Tamandua tetradactyla: one gene and its partner. The main gene of each other region encodes a partner of the protein of the gene in region 2 in a complex. Links are inferred from orthologs where the notes say so. Each region holds a gene or a part of one and is shown on either strand. Other genes may lie near its edges.

Region 1 (7,879 bases), on a different chromosome or scaffold from region 2:
CTTCCAAATATTGATCACCTGCTCCGTGCCTGATTAACTAAGTGCTTTATATGGATTACCTCACTTAGTCCTACAATGGCACACACAGAGAGGGAGACACAGGTTTTGCGGGTCTTGAAGCTTATATAATTTGAGGAGGCCCTCTCTAAAAAAAAGAATACGAAATTAGGAAGAGCATCAAGGCCCAAAGAAGCACCTGGGCAAGTGAAGGGCCCTGAAGCTTAAGTTTCTTGAGCTTCACGGGGAATGCTCCACTGTACCCAAGGCAGTTAACAAGTCACCTGTAACAAATAATGAAAGTGAAGCTCAGGGAAGTTGGGTAACTTGCCCAAAGACACAAAGCTTGTAAATGGAAAGGCCTGGGTTTGAATATGTGAGTCCAACTGCAAATGTCACGCACTTTTTCTCTGTGCGGCTTCTAGCAAAAATAAAATCACTATCACTTATTAAGCATTAACTATAGCCCAGAGAAATTACACTCACTTCCTCTAATTATTCCTTAAAAATTCTGTGTACATTAGTCATTTTGATCCACATTCACCGATGGGGAAACTAAGGATCAAGAAAGTTGAGATAATTAGCTCATGGTCATGCAGCATGATCGAGTCAGGATTTGTGCTTAGAAGTGTTCACGAGCAGTCTTTCTTCCTTCCCACTGCCCGACGGTACCGTCCCGCAGATCATCCAGGAAAGAACAGAATGGTAATGTGTGACCTGACTGACTTACAATATTCCCAAATCTGTCCAATGAAACTAGTCCTATAATTTAGGGGTTTTTTTGCTTTTCTGTTTTTCAGTTTTCGGGGGGGGAGGGGGGTGTACATGGTCCGGGAATCGAACCCCGGTCTCCCGCGTGGAAGGCTAGCATTCTACCACTGAAACACCCGTGCACCCTGTCATTTAGTTTTATATACCACATTGTACAGTGTTACTCAGCTGGAGTTAGGCAATTGTGAAAGTCCACTTCCCTTGTACATTATCAGTCAAAACAGCGTCCATTCCTTATGGGGGTAAAAGTCAATCACCAAATATCAAAGCAAGCCCAGATTTATCCAGCCAAGCTGCCTCACAACGACTTCCCTCTCCACCAAGAAATAGAGACCCACAGTTTCTGGGTACAACTGAAGAAACCCTCAGAGGGCCTGAGGGCCAGCTATACCTGAGGCACTGGGAAACTGGCTTTCAAATTGACACAAGAAAATTCATATATTGACTACAGTAGGACTGCTTAACTCTAGTCACCTAAAGACGAAAATTTATATCCTCAAAAATTCTCACCATGGATCTGAAGGTGGGCGGAAATGGAGAAAGGATTCAGTTTATTTTTATTTTAAACATCAGTGTTCAAGGTCAGCACTGAGCTTTGAGAAGCCCATACAGTGGGCTCATCTTCCTTTGGCAACGTGAGCTTTTTAAAAATTAAATTATGCCTTGTTATGGTGCTTTTTTTTTTCTTTTTCTTCTTCTTCTCTTAACTGCCAGATTTCGAATAATTGCTTGCTTCGGAAAATTTATATTAAAGGAATACGTTCCTTACCACCTGGAAGAAGACAAATGTTCTAACTGGCCAGCGCAGTGACTCCAACTGGACGAGGCCTGGGCTTTGAATCTGACCAACTGGGAGATGTCACAGGACACATGTGGTTAGGGTGCTAATAAGAGAAGGCACTTGAATAATTTTTTTTTAAGGAAACTGTGATCCCATTAACTCTCTCCTGTTCCTCTTTCCACACAGCTTTCTGGGCCTGGGTGAAAGGGCAAAAGAAATGACCAGTGAAGTCAAAAGCGGAGGAAGTCTTCGGAAATGACTAGTTCTCCAGCCCACTCATCCAGGGGGAAGAGAGATTCAGATTCTAAGACTCTCCATGCATCTCTGCCTGAAGATTATCACTGTTTGAGAAGAACAAGAATGAATGACGAGACAAAGCAGCACAAAGCAGCAGACCGTGATACAAGATATGCAGCCATGGAGGGTAAGCACCGACTATGATGGACTGAAATGTCACCCAGTCAACGGGCCTGACCTCGCTGCCCGCTGCCCTGCCCAGCTCAGGAAAGTAAGAATACAATAGACCACACAGCCGCTTCCATCCCCAGCCCCACACCACTTCAGAGGCCACGGCAAGCAGCCAACATAACCTCTCTTCTATAGTGTGTTTTATTTAGTTTTCTTTCTTCATGAGGTGGGAGCGAAATGAGTTTGGGCCCAACAGAGATTGGGGTGTATTGCCGGGGGGCGGGGGAGAGGGTAGTGGTGGTGATGCAAATGACAGAACAAAAGCGAAAGATTTTTTGCGGCGTAAACCCACATTCTTATTTATGATCAAGAAAACATAGTCCACATCGGTCTCTAACTCTCATTTATCAACCCCAAGAAGAGAAGGAAGAAAGCAAGGCACCAGTCCGGATGATTTGCCCAAGTGCAGATTTTCCCCGCAAAAGGTACAGCTTTGGGAGAGCGCGCTGGGAGCTCCCCCTCCCTACCTGCCGGACGCGCGCGCGCACACACACACACACACACACACACACACACACACACACAGCCACCAAACTCACCTTCTGGATCGCCTGGTCCACGGCCTTTTCGAAGACCCTGGCCACGAGCAGCGTGACACTGGTCACCAGAAGAAGCAGGGACAGGGTCCCCACCGTGTAGAAGCAGCACCTGCCCATTCTGCGCGCCGCTCACGCACGGGGCCGCGGCCGCCCGCGATCCAGCGGGGAAGAGGGAGGAACCGGTCGCGGTCTCGGCTGCCAGCGGCCGGAAGAACCGGGAAGGCTCCGGCGCCCGCGTCCTCCCCGCGCTCGGCTCGCGCAGCACGCGCGGGCTCTCGGCCCTGCAACCCGGCGAGCGCGGCCCCCTCTGCACCCCGCAGGCGGGGTGGGAGCGTAGAGGGACCCGGCTTTGGTTTCGGTTTCCTTCGCGAGGCCGGGGAGGGACAGCCGCGGCGTCCCGCCTGGCTCAGTTCGGGAGGGAGGGAGGAAAGGAGGGAGCGCGCAGGCTGTGACGCTCGCCGACCCTGCTCGCCGCAGCCCGGGGAGGGAGGATTGGGCCTCGGCGCCGGGAAGCGGGCGGGGCGGGAGGCTGAGCCAGCGGTCATGTGCCCGGCGGTGGCTGCCGCGATTCAGCCGGTGCTAGAGCGACCGAACCCGAGTCCCGCGACGGCGAGGCTCCCTCCCCAACCCAAGCCGCTTCTCGACCTTCTCGCCGCAGGCCCCGCGGTCACCCCAGGAAAATCGCTTTCCCTAGTTCGCTGATCCACTTACCACTGTGTAGCTACTTAGCTGGAGCCTACCGTGTGCCGAGCATTGGGGAGTGAAGGATGAAGAGGTCTTTTCTCCTGCTGTACACTGTTACGAGCAATTATAGCACAGCGCAGCAAATGCTTTTAAAAGGTGTGTGCTGAGATCTGTGCTAACAAGCACGTGCTGTCTGGGTACCTGGACCCTATAATAGAACTTGGGGGCTTGGGATATGTAAGAGTGGCAGGCAAGGGATGTGCGCAGGGGAAAGAGGCAGCATTTCAAGGAGAAATAACAGATGTTCAACGGCTTTGGGGGGTGAAAAAGCAAAACTGAAGGAGGAAAGAACTTCCTTGTGAACTCGGGTGTGCAGTGTGGGATGGAAGGTGGAGAGGCTCCAAAGGTTCATATTTTGAAGGATTCTGTGTGTCCAGCTGAAGAGTTGGGACTTTATGTCTCAGCAGTGGGAGTGGTCAAAAAGCTTTAAAGCAGGTAGTTCTGGTGGTGTTCTTTGTCTGCTTTGCTCACCAGTATGTGCCAGACATCCAGCCTAAAAGCCTACACATAAATAGATATCCGATAAATCTTAGTTGGATGAATGAGTGTCAGTTATATGCCAGGCCTTGGTTTGGTGATTGTACCCGCCTACTCCGGTAACGTCCATAGCAGCCCTGTGAGTTGGTGGCTGTGTTTTTCCCAGTTCCCCAAGAATTAGCTCCAGACAGGAGTAGCTGTGCAAAAGATTTATTAGGGGCAGCACTTATGAGGGGAAAATGGACAGGGAGCTGGACTAGGCAAGGAGGTGTGAGCTTGGGGACGGAGAAAGGCATGGAAGGAACATTGGGTGGAAGGAAGCATCTTAGACTGCAATGCAGTTCTGAGAAAGTTCAGTCAGGCTGTGGGGAGACCTTTGGCCAAGTTGCCTTAGTATCCCTGCTGTGTTCAGTCCTGGGCTGGAAGCTGGCTTCTGAGACAAGGGGTTAAATATCGGAGGATAGATTTCAGAATTCAGCAGCTGGGGCAGAGCCATTAGTCAGTTATGCGCCCTGCACTGGGAGATCTGAGAAGTATATTCTCACAGCCAGTATAGCAGTATTAGCCCCATTTTGCACAGGCGGGAACCTGGGCTCTCAGAGTTGAAGTAACCTAAAAAGCTCATCCAGTTGCTGAGTGGTGGATCCTGCACCACATTGTAGCACTGGTGGCCCCCAAATCCTTCACTGGTCTCTTCTGTGGATAGCTGCCTCCCAGCTGCCACAGTGATAATCTGGGGAGAGGGAGACAGGAGACTTCACTGAAGAAGTCTTTTCTTCTTCGCGCATTGCCGCAAGATGGTGCGATAGATAAAGAACGGTGGCAAAGTGGTTGGACTGTACCTGTGTGGCTATTTCTCAATAAAAATATTTTTTAAAAATTAAAAAAAAAGAACGGTGGCAAATTCTTTGGCACCCCACCCACTGAGAGGTGAAATCTCTGCCTTCTCCTTGAATGTCGACTGAACGGAGTGATTTACTTAACAAAAAACTACAGTGGAAATGACCATATTCTAAAAATTTTGGAGCTAGGTCATAAATGCCTTGCAGCTTCTGTCTAGGCCTCTGGGGAATCCTTGTTCTTAGCCATCTGAGCCCCCACTGAGTTCAGTTACCCTGAGACTGCATGCTGGAGAGAACACAGACACTGCAGGGGGTTATCCTGATTCTGCAAGAGGAGACTTGCAACTTTTCCTGCTCCCAACTCTGTGAGTCATAGGCCACAGACATTATGGAGCAGAGACCGGTTTGTCCTTGCTGAGCCCTCCCCTAAATGCAGATTTGAGAACAAAATAAAGGATTGCTGTTGTTTGCATTTTTATTGTGGTGACATATATTTATAACACAGAATTTCTCATATTAACCATTTTAAAGGGTATAATTCAGTCATATTAATTGCATTCATTTTTTAAGTGTATAATTCAGTGGTATTAATTGCATACCAAGTTTTAAGCCACTAAGTTATGGGGTAGTGTGTTGCTCAATTATAGATAATGGGAGCAAATGGTGAGGGTAGGGCCCTGGCAATGACAATGGTTGCCCACCCCAACTCTATCCAGCTGAAGCCACCAAAGATTTTGAGCAGCAACCCCAGAGAACCAGGCCTGGGCACTAATAGAATCTGGACGGGGTCAGGAATTATTCAACTGTCCCAAGCCTGGTGGCCAGTGCACCCGGGGATGCCCAAGTCCTTACGTGCTCCAAATGGGCAACCTTTCCCCAACCACTCCTGCCGTGGTCACAGTCCGTTTTGCCTCCATTGCTGCTTTGGATTCCAGTTCTCTCCCTTAGTTCTGCCCCACACAAACCAGTCTGCTTATAGGCCACGCCAGCTCACCCTTTCCTCACTGGTCCCCTTCCTCAGGAATTGGTTGGGCTCCTGCTGCAATCTGTGGGTTCTCTCTTTCCATAACTAGAACAAGATTGAGTAACCTGTCTGCCTAAATATGTGGCAGCCAGCAGTTCATATGCAAACTGAAACACTGCTAGACCAGATTTTCTGCTTGCTGGCTCCATGCTTAAAAGCAAACTCTATAGTTACCCACCACCTCCAAGCTGGGACCACCAATCCCAGTGCCCTCTCCTTTCCCATTGTTCATTGGAGGAGGTCCGTTCTTATGTGGTACACCAGTAGAATAACCGACTAGGGACTAGAGACCAGAAGCAGGTTAGAGAAACATATCTGGGTGTGGGGAGAGTTTCTAACAAGAGGTTCCAACTCAGATGCCCTCCGTTTACCTTTCATTTGCGGTTCTCACACTCTGCTAACCCTAGTCTGTTCATTACCACTGTGTCAGGCGCATGGTAAGCTGCTTCCCCTTTAAAATTCTAGTCCAAGCTGGACAAAAACCTCTTTCTTGCTTCCTCTTAGTACAGCTGACCAGACTAGAATTTTAAAAATGTACTGAACACTGAGAGAACAATAGAGACCAAAATAAAGAAAATATAAACTGCTTTTTTTTTTTTAAAGGAACGCATGTCCCCAGAATTGCAGTCTGTGACCCCACAATAATTTATGTCTTGTCACAAAGGTCTGGCACGTACCTGGGTGGTGGTCTTTCTGTTCCCTTCCGTCTTCTCCAGCCCATGGCCACCTGCCTGGCTCGAATCCCCAACATTCTGATACAAGCTCTCCAAAACCACTCGGACCTCCTCATTTCCAATCAATGGGGCACATCTCCTCCACTGCTGTTTGGCATTATTAGGTCCTTTTTGTGCCATAGAATCATCTCACATGGCAGATGATATTCCACCTTCTAAATGAAAGGAGTGGCTACTGCATGGCAGGTAAACAAATTAACAACCCACTAACGCACTCTGGAGGCCAGACGGGCCTGGGACTACTCCCACCATTCGGCTTGGGAAGGCTGATGCCCTGAAAGGAGGCAATCAGGGATTTTTTCATACTCAAAACCAGAACACTTTTTCATCTGAGAAAAACCAGGACACTTAGGAATGAATGACTATTGGTGCCTGCTGCAAATTGCACAGTCAGGACTCAGAAAGAAGAAAAGAAAAACTTCTCTCACAGACTCTAAGACAGGCCTATCATGGGGCAACATGAAGGGATATTTGATCCCCGCCTTAAATTTGGAATTATGATATTTTATTCAAACAAGCTCACTAATACACTCATCCTATACTTTTATGCTAAATGTGCTAGTGTTAAATGTAAGCATTTAAAATATACTACAATTTTTATAATGCGTTACAGTAGTTAGTCTCCAAATATCATTGCCAACAATTCTTGCTATCTTTGTAGGCTGGTGCTGCCCCTCGCATGAAAGTGGAGGCTATTTTCCCTCCTTTAAATCTAGGCTGCCCTTGTGGCCTGCTCCGACCAGTGCAATGTGATGGAACTGACACTGGGCCAGTTCCAGGTCGAAGCTGATGAGGCCTGGCAGCTTTTGTTCTCTCCAGTTGTGATAACATATACAACACGCAATTTCCCATTTTACCACTCTCATGTGTGCATTCAGTAATAGTAATTATAGTCAGAATGTTGTGCTGCTAATACCACCATCCATTACCAAAACATTTGCATTACCCCAAACAGAAACTCTGTACCCATCAAACAATAACTCCTCATTTCCCACCTTCCTAAGCCCTAGAAACCTATAATTTACTTTCTGTCTCTATGAATTTGCATGTTATAAGTATTTTATATAAGTGAGATCATTCAATATTTGTCCTTTGTGTCTGACTTAATCCACTCCACATGATATCGTCAAGGTTCACCAGTGTTGTTGCATGTATCAGCACTTCATTTCCTTTTTTTTGGCCAAATAAAATTCCATTGTATGTATATATAACATTTTTTAATCCATGCATCTATTGATGGGCACTGGATTTTTTTCAACCCTTTGGTTAGTATGAATAATGCTGCTATGGACATTGGTATACAAATATCTATTCAAGTCACTGCTTTCAATTCTTTTGGATATATATCTAGACGTGGAATTGCCAGGTCATTAGGCATTCTATGTTTAACTTTCTGAAGAACTGCTAAACTATTTTCCACAGCAGCTGCACCATTTTACATTACCACCAGGGTTCCCATCTCTCAGCATCCTGGCCAACATTTACTATTTTCTGGGTTTTTT
Region 2 (7,317 bases):
CCAATGTACAGCGATGCCATGGACGTACTTAGCTGCCTCTGGGTCCGAAAGCACCTGTGCAGAGAAGGAGAAAGACTGCTGGGGAAGGGGAAGCCACTGAACCAGGATCCTCTGTGCAGAGGAACCAGGGGACCTGGCAAATAGATGGTAGGGTAAATGCAACTAAAGGGGTTAAAGAGACAACTAATGGGGAGAGGTCCTTGAGAGCCAGAGAGCTGTAGGAATCAACAGTTGGGAGCAGGGAAGGCATACAAAGTCCTGGGAGCCAGTAATTTAGACCCTGGACTTGGGGGTTACTAGGGCACCCGTGGAAATCCTGGAGCCTTACCACCTTGGCCCAGTGGGGTAGCAGCAGGCGTTGGTCATCTAGCATGAACAGGTGGACATCGCGATGAGTACTGTTGGCAAGGGTGGGACCCAGGTCACGGGCAATGAAGTCTCGCTGGTGTTCAGGGGTGAAGCCCAAGCACTGGAAGGGGTACCCACTAAGGAGCCCTGCAGAAGGCTCATTCTCTGCTGTTACTGCCCAGAACTGTAACTTGTGCTCAGCATAGGCATCCAGGAACCTGGCGGAGGAAAGGATGTGAGTGAGCGTGGCTGAGAAAGGGGACCATGACCCTGGGGAATGGGAGGCCTGCTGAAGTGGGCAAAACTGAAGGGTCCAAGGTAGAAAGGTACTAGAAGGTAGACAGTGAGCTAGGAGAGTCAGGCCTGGAGGTACAATCAGTTTGAGAACTGGGACACAGACCAGGGTGTCTGAGAGTCCAGATCCCATAGCCTTGCTGCTTCCTTACTTAACAAAGTAGTTGGCCCAGGTCTGATGGTAGATATCTCCTGGCTGACCCTTGAGTGTCCCTTTCCCATTCACGGCCCCATTGGTCTTGAGCCAAGAAGGCGATGTCCAGGGACTGGCAAAGAGTGAGATGTGACGTCGAGTCAAGTCCAGGGCTTGGTGAATCAGGGGTATCTAGGGAAAAAGGTAGTAAGCAGAGAGATACCCAGGTTTGGAATATACAGAGACTGGCCCAACCAGTGCATCAGGCCCAGCCATCAGTCCTCACCCTCCAACCCCGGGGCAAAACAGCACGGGGCAGGTTCGGTGTCTCTGCAAACTGCTCTATCCTGAGTCTCCTCAACTTCCAGGCAATGCTACCAGGGCTTGAGGCAGCCAGAGTGCCCACCTTGAGCTTGGTATCTTCCTCTGGGAGGCTGAAGTTGTGCAACTGGAAGTCACCAGGGTTGTCAGCATAGGTATAGATACGGATGGAGAAGTCACAGCTGGCCATGGGTACCCGGATGATGTTGTATTCAATTCCTGCAGAAAAGGATGACCAAGATATGGAAGTCTGAATCAATAGGAAGATATGGGTACCTGGTCTATCATTTTCCTGTCCTAAATAAGTCTAAATCAGGGCCAAAGGGGACTTGGGCTCCTAGGATGGGGCCTGTGGAGCTCAGAAGCCAGGCCCTTCTGACCCCAAGAGCTCCCAAGCACTTAGCACAACATGAGTAGGTAGAGTTGGACAGTAAGAGAGGACCCAAGTTTCAGGGATGGGTAGAAGTAAGGGACAAGGAAAGGTCAGAGAAAAGTGTCAATTGCACAATGGCATCTTGTTCCCCTCCTCCTCACCTTCTTCAGAGAAGTACGATTTGAGCAGCAAATTCCGGGCAGGGGGTGACAGGGCAAGGATGTTGAGAGCAGCAGCATCTGTCATGGCCCCTCCAAATCCCTTTATTTTCTGGAACTTCTGTTCTGGGTGCAGGGTCAGTAGCAGCCCTGAGGACATCCACAGGGAATAAACAGTGTAAGTGCACAGAGGAGAAACTCCATGGTGATCACTGGCATGATTTATCTCCAGGAGGATCCCAGCTTGACTTGGGGTGAGGGGGACAGTGGTTACCTGTGCCTGTGCGGTTGGCCTGGATGGTCCCCACGCTCAGTTCCATCCGTCGCCCACTGCGTGTGCTCTCATAACGGTTGAACGTGCGAGAGGCAGGGAGGGTCAGGGGGTCAAGAGAGTCACAGTACGTGGCATTGCAGACACAGACCACTGAACTGTAGCCAAAGCTTTTAGGGATACAGGGACGGGCACCTGAGAGGGGGAGCACAAGCAGAAGCATGGGTTGAAGGACAAGGACAGGGAGAACTGACTCATTGATTGAAAAGAGACTGAATACAGGTTTCAAAAATCTTGTCACTGTACCCCCATTCCAAGGTTGGTCTCAGTTACTCAAAAGGATTTATTGAGCACCTATAAAAGTCCCACTGGTAGACCAGAAAGCTACCAAAGGACTATACGGCAGAAAGGAGCCGTGGTACTACCTCCCCCCTTTAACTCACTCACCTGATGCCCATAACACCATCTGAAGTAGAAGCAATCCTGTGAAGCTGGCAGCCATGACGCCTGTCCTACCCAGGTGCATGGGATGTTCCTGAGACCAGAATGAGGAGTGACTAGAAGGCAAGCCTCTCTCAGTCCGTCAACTATTCCCCAGGGCAGGGCTTGGCTGCCTGCAGGTGCCCACAGCCTAGTCTCCCACCTTTATGAGGGTTGCGACAAAGCCCACAGACACATGGGTGTAGCCCTCCCTCCAACCCCTGCCTCCTTCTGCTGGTGACAGCTCTCTGCCCACCCCAACCAGGAACCTCCTGCATCCCTCTTCCCAACCATTTCTCCCTCCACTCCTCCCTCCTTTCATCTGTTCCTAGCTCAAAGGGAGTCTATATCATTCATTGAGTTCCAGGGCCAAGAGGGTCAAGATTAAGATTCCAGAAGCAGCAGGATGAGGCTGATTTGGATCCCCGGTCCAGCCACCTCTCTGGAAGGACGTGAAAGCTCCATCGCCTCAGGGTCACCGGACGGGGAGAAGACTGCAGCTGTTCCAGAGCTTCGGAGAGACAGAGGATCCACTCAATAATAGGAACAGGAATGCTTCTATCTCCAGTAGCTGTAGGCACTGGGATTAGCCCCGCAGGTTAATTCCGGCCTCCTAGAGTGGGCAGGTCATGTGATGATTGTGGGCGTGTCACATGATACCGGAAGTGAGGCAATTGCAGCCATATTTGTAAAGGGCGACTGGCTTTCTCTGGGCTGGTGACCATTATACACTCTGTGAACTCGGGAAGGTTACTTTAGAAGGAGCCTCGTTCAAACAGCTGGGTGTAGGATAGGGTAGAGGCCCCTGAGTCCCAGACAATGGTGATCAGAGCAGGCATGTTGCCTCCTTGAGAAAAATTTTTAAACAGTGATAATAAATGAGATTCACTGTGTAAAATATCAAGGCTCCAGAGACTATTAAGATGTAGTTTGAGCCTCATAGAGAGAGGCCCTAAATGAGGTGAGTCAGGCATTTATACAGATAATGACCAATAAAGAGAAAAATGGTAACAGATGTACATGGAGAGCTCAACGACACACCGGAGGGACACTTCATGGGTGGGGAGTTATCTAGGAAGGCTTCACGGAGGAGGGTGTCCTTCAAGTGAAAGTCAAGTAGGAGATTATTAACCAGCCACGTGTAGGGAGGATGGGATCCAGGCAGTGGGGTGGCGTGGCCGGAGGGAGGGAGGGAGCCTTCACCACTACCCCTCTCACCACCTCACCTCATCAACCCATGCAGGTTGTAAGAACTCGTCTGCCTTTCTCATCAGACAGGAGGCTGTGTAAAGTAAAATAGTTCAGGAACTAGAAAGTGTTGTACAAAGTTCACTTCTCAGTGAATGTAAGAAGCTCTACAGCAAACATGAGATCGTGGACGTGGCATACATAATTACGAGCTGCCGCGCCCCAGCTCTCTGAGCCTATTTCCTCACCTGTAAAATGGAGGTAATACCACAACCTCAGGGTCCCGGAATCACAGAGATAAACACTGTGCTGGGGCCTAGCAGGCACTTGGGAACCACTTGTTTGTTTCCTGTCTTTTTTTTTTTTTATCCTCTCAGTGAAGCCTTTTCAGGCACACCCCGGGCAAAGTGATCATTTCTTTCTTGTGGTTCCTGCAGCACCCCAGTTCGGTTTCAGCAAGAGGGGCCGAGTCTGAATCCCAAGCCCACCATTTGCTGGCTGTTTGACCTTCCATAGATTACTCCATCACACTAAGCCTCGGTTCCTTAACTAAAAGGGGAGTGATAACGCCTACATCATAACTTGGTTGTGAAGTTTAACTTTTTAAGTATGATAATGTGTGTATTTAGTACACTGCTTGGCACCAGATATTGCCACAAGTCAGATCTGTATTTATGGAGGAAACTCGGAGGGCCTTGAAGGAACATTTTACTCATCCGCAGAACCTCATACTCCCGCAGAGGCTGGCACAGGGTGGTTCCGCAGAGGCTGGCACAGGGTGGTCCCACAGAGGGCTGGCACAGGGTGGGTAGATACTGATTTGATGAATTTAATTGAACTATGGTTCACCAAGTCAGTATCTGCCCCATCCAGGCTTCCTGTTCTTCCAGGAAATCTTGCTCAGGGATTATTCTTGGGAGGAGCTCAGGCGATGCCTAGTACGTAACTTCCTTCCAGTTCATTCATTCCACAAATATTTATTGAGCAAATGCTACATTTACCCTGCCTGTGCTGTGCTCTTTTTGGGTCTGACGCCTCCCCAACTCTATGCCTTTTCCCTCTGCAGGCAGAGTTTGTGAAAGTGTTGTTTGTTCTTTTTTATCCTTCGGTTTGCAATTGTTTTCATGGCTGATGAGTCTCATCTTTCAGTTCCTCTCACAATTGATTTGCCCTTAAGGCTTTTATATTTTCTTTTCTAAATAAAGTTAGTTATAATAAAAGCTAATATTCCATGCAAGAGACCCGGGTTTGATTCCTGACCCATGCACTTACAAAAAAAAAAAATTCAACAAATGGTGCTGCAATAACGGGAAAGAACGAAATGTGACCGTCACCATACAGCATACAAAAAAAAAGGCTAATATTTATTGAATACTTAAACTCTGTGCTACTTTATGTGCATCATCTCGTTTCATTCTCACAAAGCAGATACCATTATTCTCACCATTTTAGAGATAAGGAGCCTGAGATGAGAGGTCATTAAATTTTTCCAAGTCCTTTGGCTTCTCGGAGGTGGAGCCCTAGATGGACAGTCACAGTCCATGGCACATGGTAGCTATTTCCTGAGAGCCTCCTGCGTGCCAAATGCTATGCTAGGCTGCTCTGCAGTGTTTGATTTATTTTGTTTGAAAACCGTCCCTGGTTTTTTCTGTAGTTTTCTACCTGCCCAACAGAAGTTAGCTTCTGAAGGGCTGGTGACATAGTAACATTTCTAGATCCCTGTTCTACCAAGACATTGATCAGGGGATGCCTCTTGAGTAATGAAACAAAATCCAGAGCCCCCAGGTTGGGCAAGCCTGATTTTTCAGTTGGGAAGGGGTAGCTCCACCAAGTAGCCCTGCTTTTGCCCTTGAACTTCACTGCCCCCCAACAAGCCTAGCACCACCCCTTTTTCATAACAAATATTTTTAAACATATTTTTTACTATCCTGAAATAAAATGCAGAGTAATATAGCTTACCTACACACATAATTTAAAAGAATCAATATGATTGTCTTTATTGGAATATAAGGGGGAAAATAATGAGAATGTTACTCATAATATATTATGCTTTTCAGTAAATAAATGGTTAGGCATGACTACCTAGAAGACATAATGTAGTCAGATCTTGCACTCACTTAAACAGGATAAATTAGAATTTAAGAGAAGTAAAAACAAACCCATACCTGCAAATGAATAAATAATTGCAATATGTACTCCTCACCATTTATCACCTTCTCAATATGTAGTTATTGTGCTGCAAAAATAAAAATGCAACAAACAGAAATACTAAAAACGATCTTTATGAATAAAACTCAGTGCATTCCACATGTCCCCACAAATTTAATATTTGATTGTAACAATTCAATGGGAGAAAGGGGTGAGTTTTTTAAAAATGGCATTGGGACAACTGGATATATACACACAAAAAGGTAAACCTAAATCTTTACACTATTCACTAAAATGAAATGAAAATGGATTATAGACCTAAATGTAAGAGCTAAAAGTATAAAACTCCTAGAAGAAAACAGGAGTAGAAATTTGTGATCTTGGATTACGTAAGGTTTATGATTCTGAAACACAAGTGTCAAAAGAAGAAAGAAAAAATGATAAATTGGACTTCATAAAAAAATGAAACAAAACAACTTTTGTGCTTCAAAGGATGACATCAAGAAAATATAAAGATGGGTGGGCCATGGTGGCTCAGCAGGCTGAGTTCTCACCTGCCATGCCGGAGACCTGGGTTCATTTCCCAGTGCATGCCCATGTAAAAAAATAAAAAAAGAAAATAGAAAGACAACCCACAGAATGGGAAAAAATATTTGCAAATCATTTCTCTGTCTAGTCTCCAGAATATATAAAGAATTCTCACAGCTTAATACTCAAAATCCAATTATAAATGGGCAAAGGATTTAAATAGACATTTCTCCAAAGAAGATATACAAGTGGTCAATAAGCATATGCAAAGATGCTCAACATCATTAGTGATTAGGGAAATGCAAATCAAAACCACAAGGAGAGGGCAGGCCATGGCGGCTCAGCAGGCAGAGTTCTCGCCTGCCATGTGGAGACCCAGGTTCGATTCCTGGTGCCTGCCCATGCAAATAAGTAAATAAATAAATAAATAAAAACTACAAAAAAACACACACACAAGGAGATACCACTTCACATGCACTAGATATAACAAAAAAAGACAGACAACAACAAGTGTTGGCAGGGATGTGGAGGAATCAGAACCCTCGTAAGGTGCTGGTGGGAATGTGAAATGATGCAGCCACTTTGGAAAACAGTTTAGCAGTTTCTCAAAATGTTCACCAGAGAGATACACCATAGAGATAGCAATTCCACTTCCAGATTTACACCCTGATGAAAAATATGTCCACACAAAAACTTGTGTGTGAATAAAATTCATAATAACCAAAAAGTGAAAGCAATCCAAACGTCCATCAACTGATGAATGCATAAGTAAATTGTGATGTTACACCATGAAATAACATTTGACCAGAAAAAGTAATGAAGTACTGAAACATACTAAAACATGGAGGAAATCTAAGACATTATACAAGGTAAAAGAAGCCAGGTGCAAAATACGGCATATTATGTAATTCCATTCATCTGAAGTGTGCAGAACAAGCAAATCCACAGAGACAGAATACAGCTTAGAGGCTTCCTGGGTCTGGAGGCAGGAGAAGGGAACCAGGAGTGACTGCTAATGGGTATGTGGGTTTCTTTTTGGGGTGATGAAAATATTCTACTATTGTGATGATGGTTG

Evidence for each region.
Region 1: the proteins of GBA1 (region 2) and SCARB2 are in contact, whole or in part, in a cryo-EM structure (PDB 9FJF), measured with the Homo sapiens proteins. The link is inferred for Tamandua tetradactyla from reciprocal best matches to the Homo sapiens genes GBA1 and SCARB2. Residues at the interface, in NP_000148.2 of Homo sapiens: Leu130, Asn131, Ala134, Ile169, Glu190, Lys194, Leu195, Pro430, Arg434, Ile445, Thr446, Asp448; in NP_005497.1 of Homo sapiens: Lys161, Ala162, Tyr163, Gln164, Lys181, Glu183, Leu187, Phe191, Arg192.

The regions. Positions count from the first base shown.
Region 1 is NC_135350.1:52,880,246-52,888,124, reverse strand, and holds the start of SCARB2 (lysosome membrane protein 2), read right to left. Parts: upstream 3,015-7,879; 5' UTR 2,674-3,014; coding exon 2,557-2,673; intron 2,058-2,556; exon of another isoform or gene 1,710-2,057; intron 1-1,709.
Region 2 is NC_135330.1:8,182,517-8,189,833, forward strand, and holds the start of GBA1 (lysosomal acid glucosylceramidase), read right to left. Parts: upstream 3,018-7,317; 5' UTR 2,844-3,017; coding exon 2,817-2,843; intron 2,434-2,816; coding exon 2,346-2,433; intron 2,094-2,345; coding exon 1,902-2,093; intron 1,778-1,901; coding exon 1,631-1,777; intron 1,316-1,630; coding exon 1,182-1,315; intron 968-1,181; coding exon 795-967; intron 567-794; coding exon 329-566; intron 55-328; coding exon 1-54. UniProt on the Homo sapiens protein: Glucosylceramidase that catalyzes, within the lysosomal compartment, the hydrolysis of glucosylceramides/GlcCers (such as beta-D-glucosyl-(1<->1')-N-acylsphing-4-enine) into free ceramides (such as N-acylsphing-4-enine) and glucose.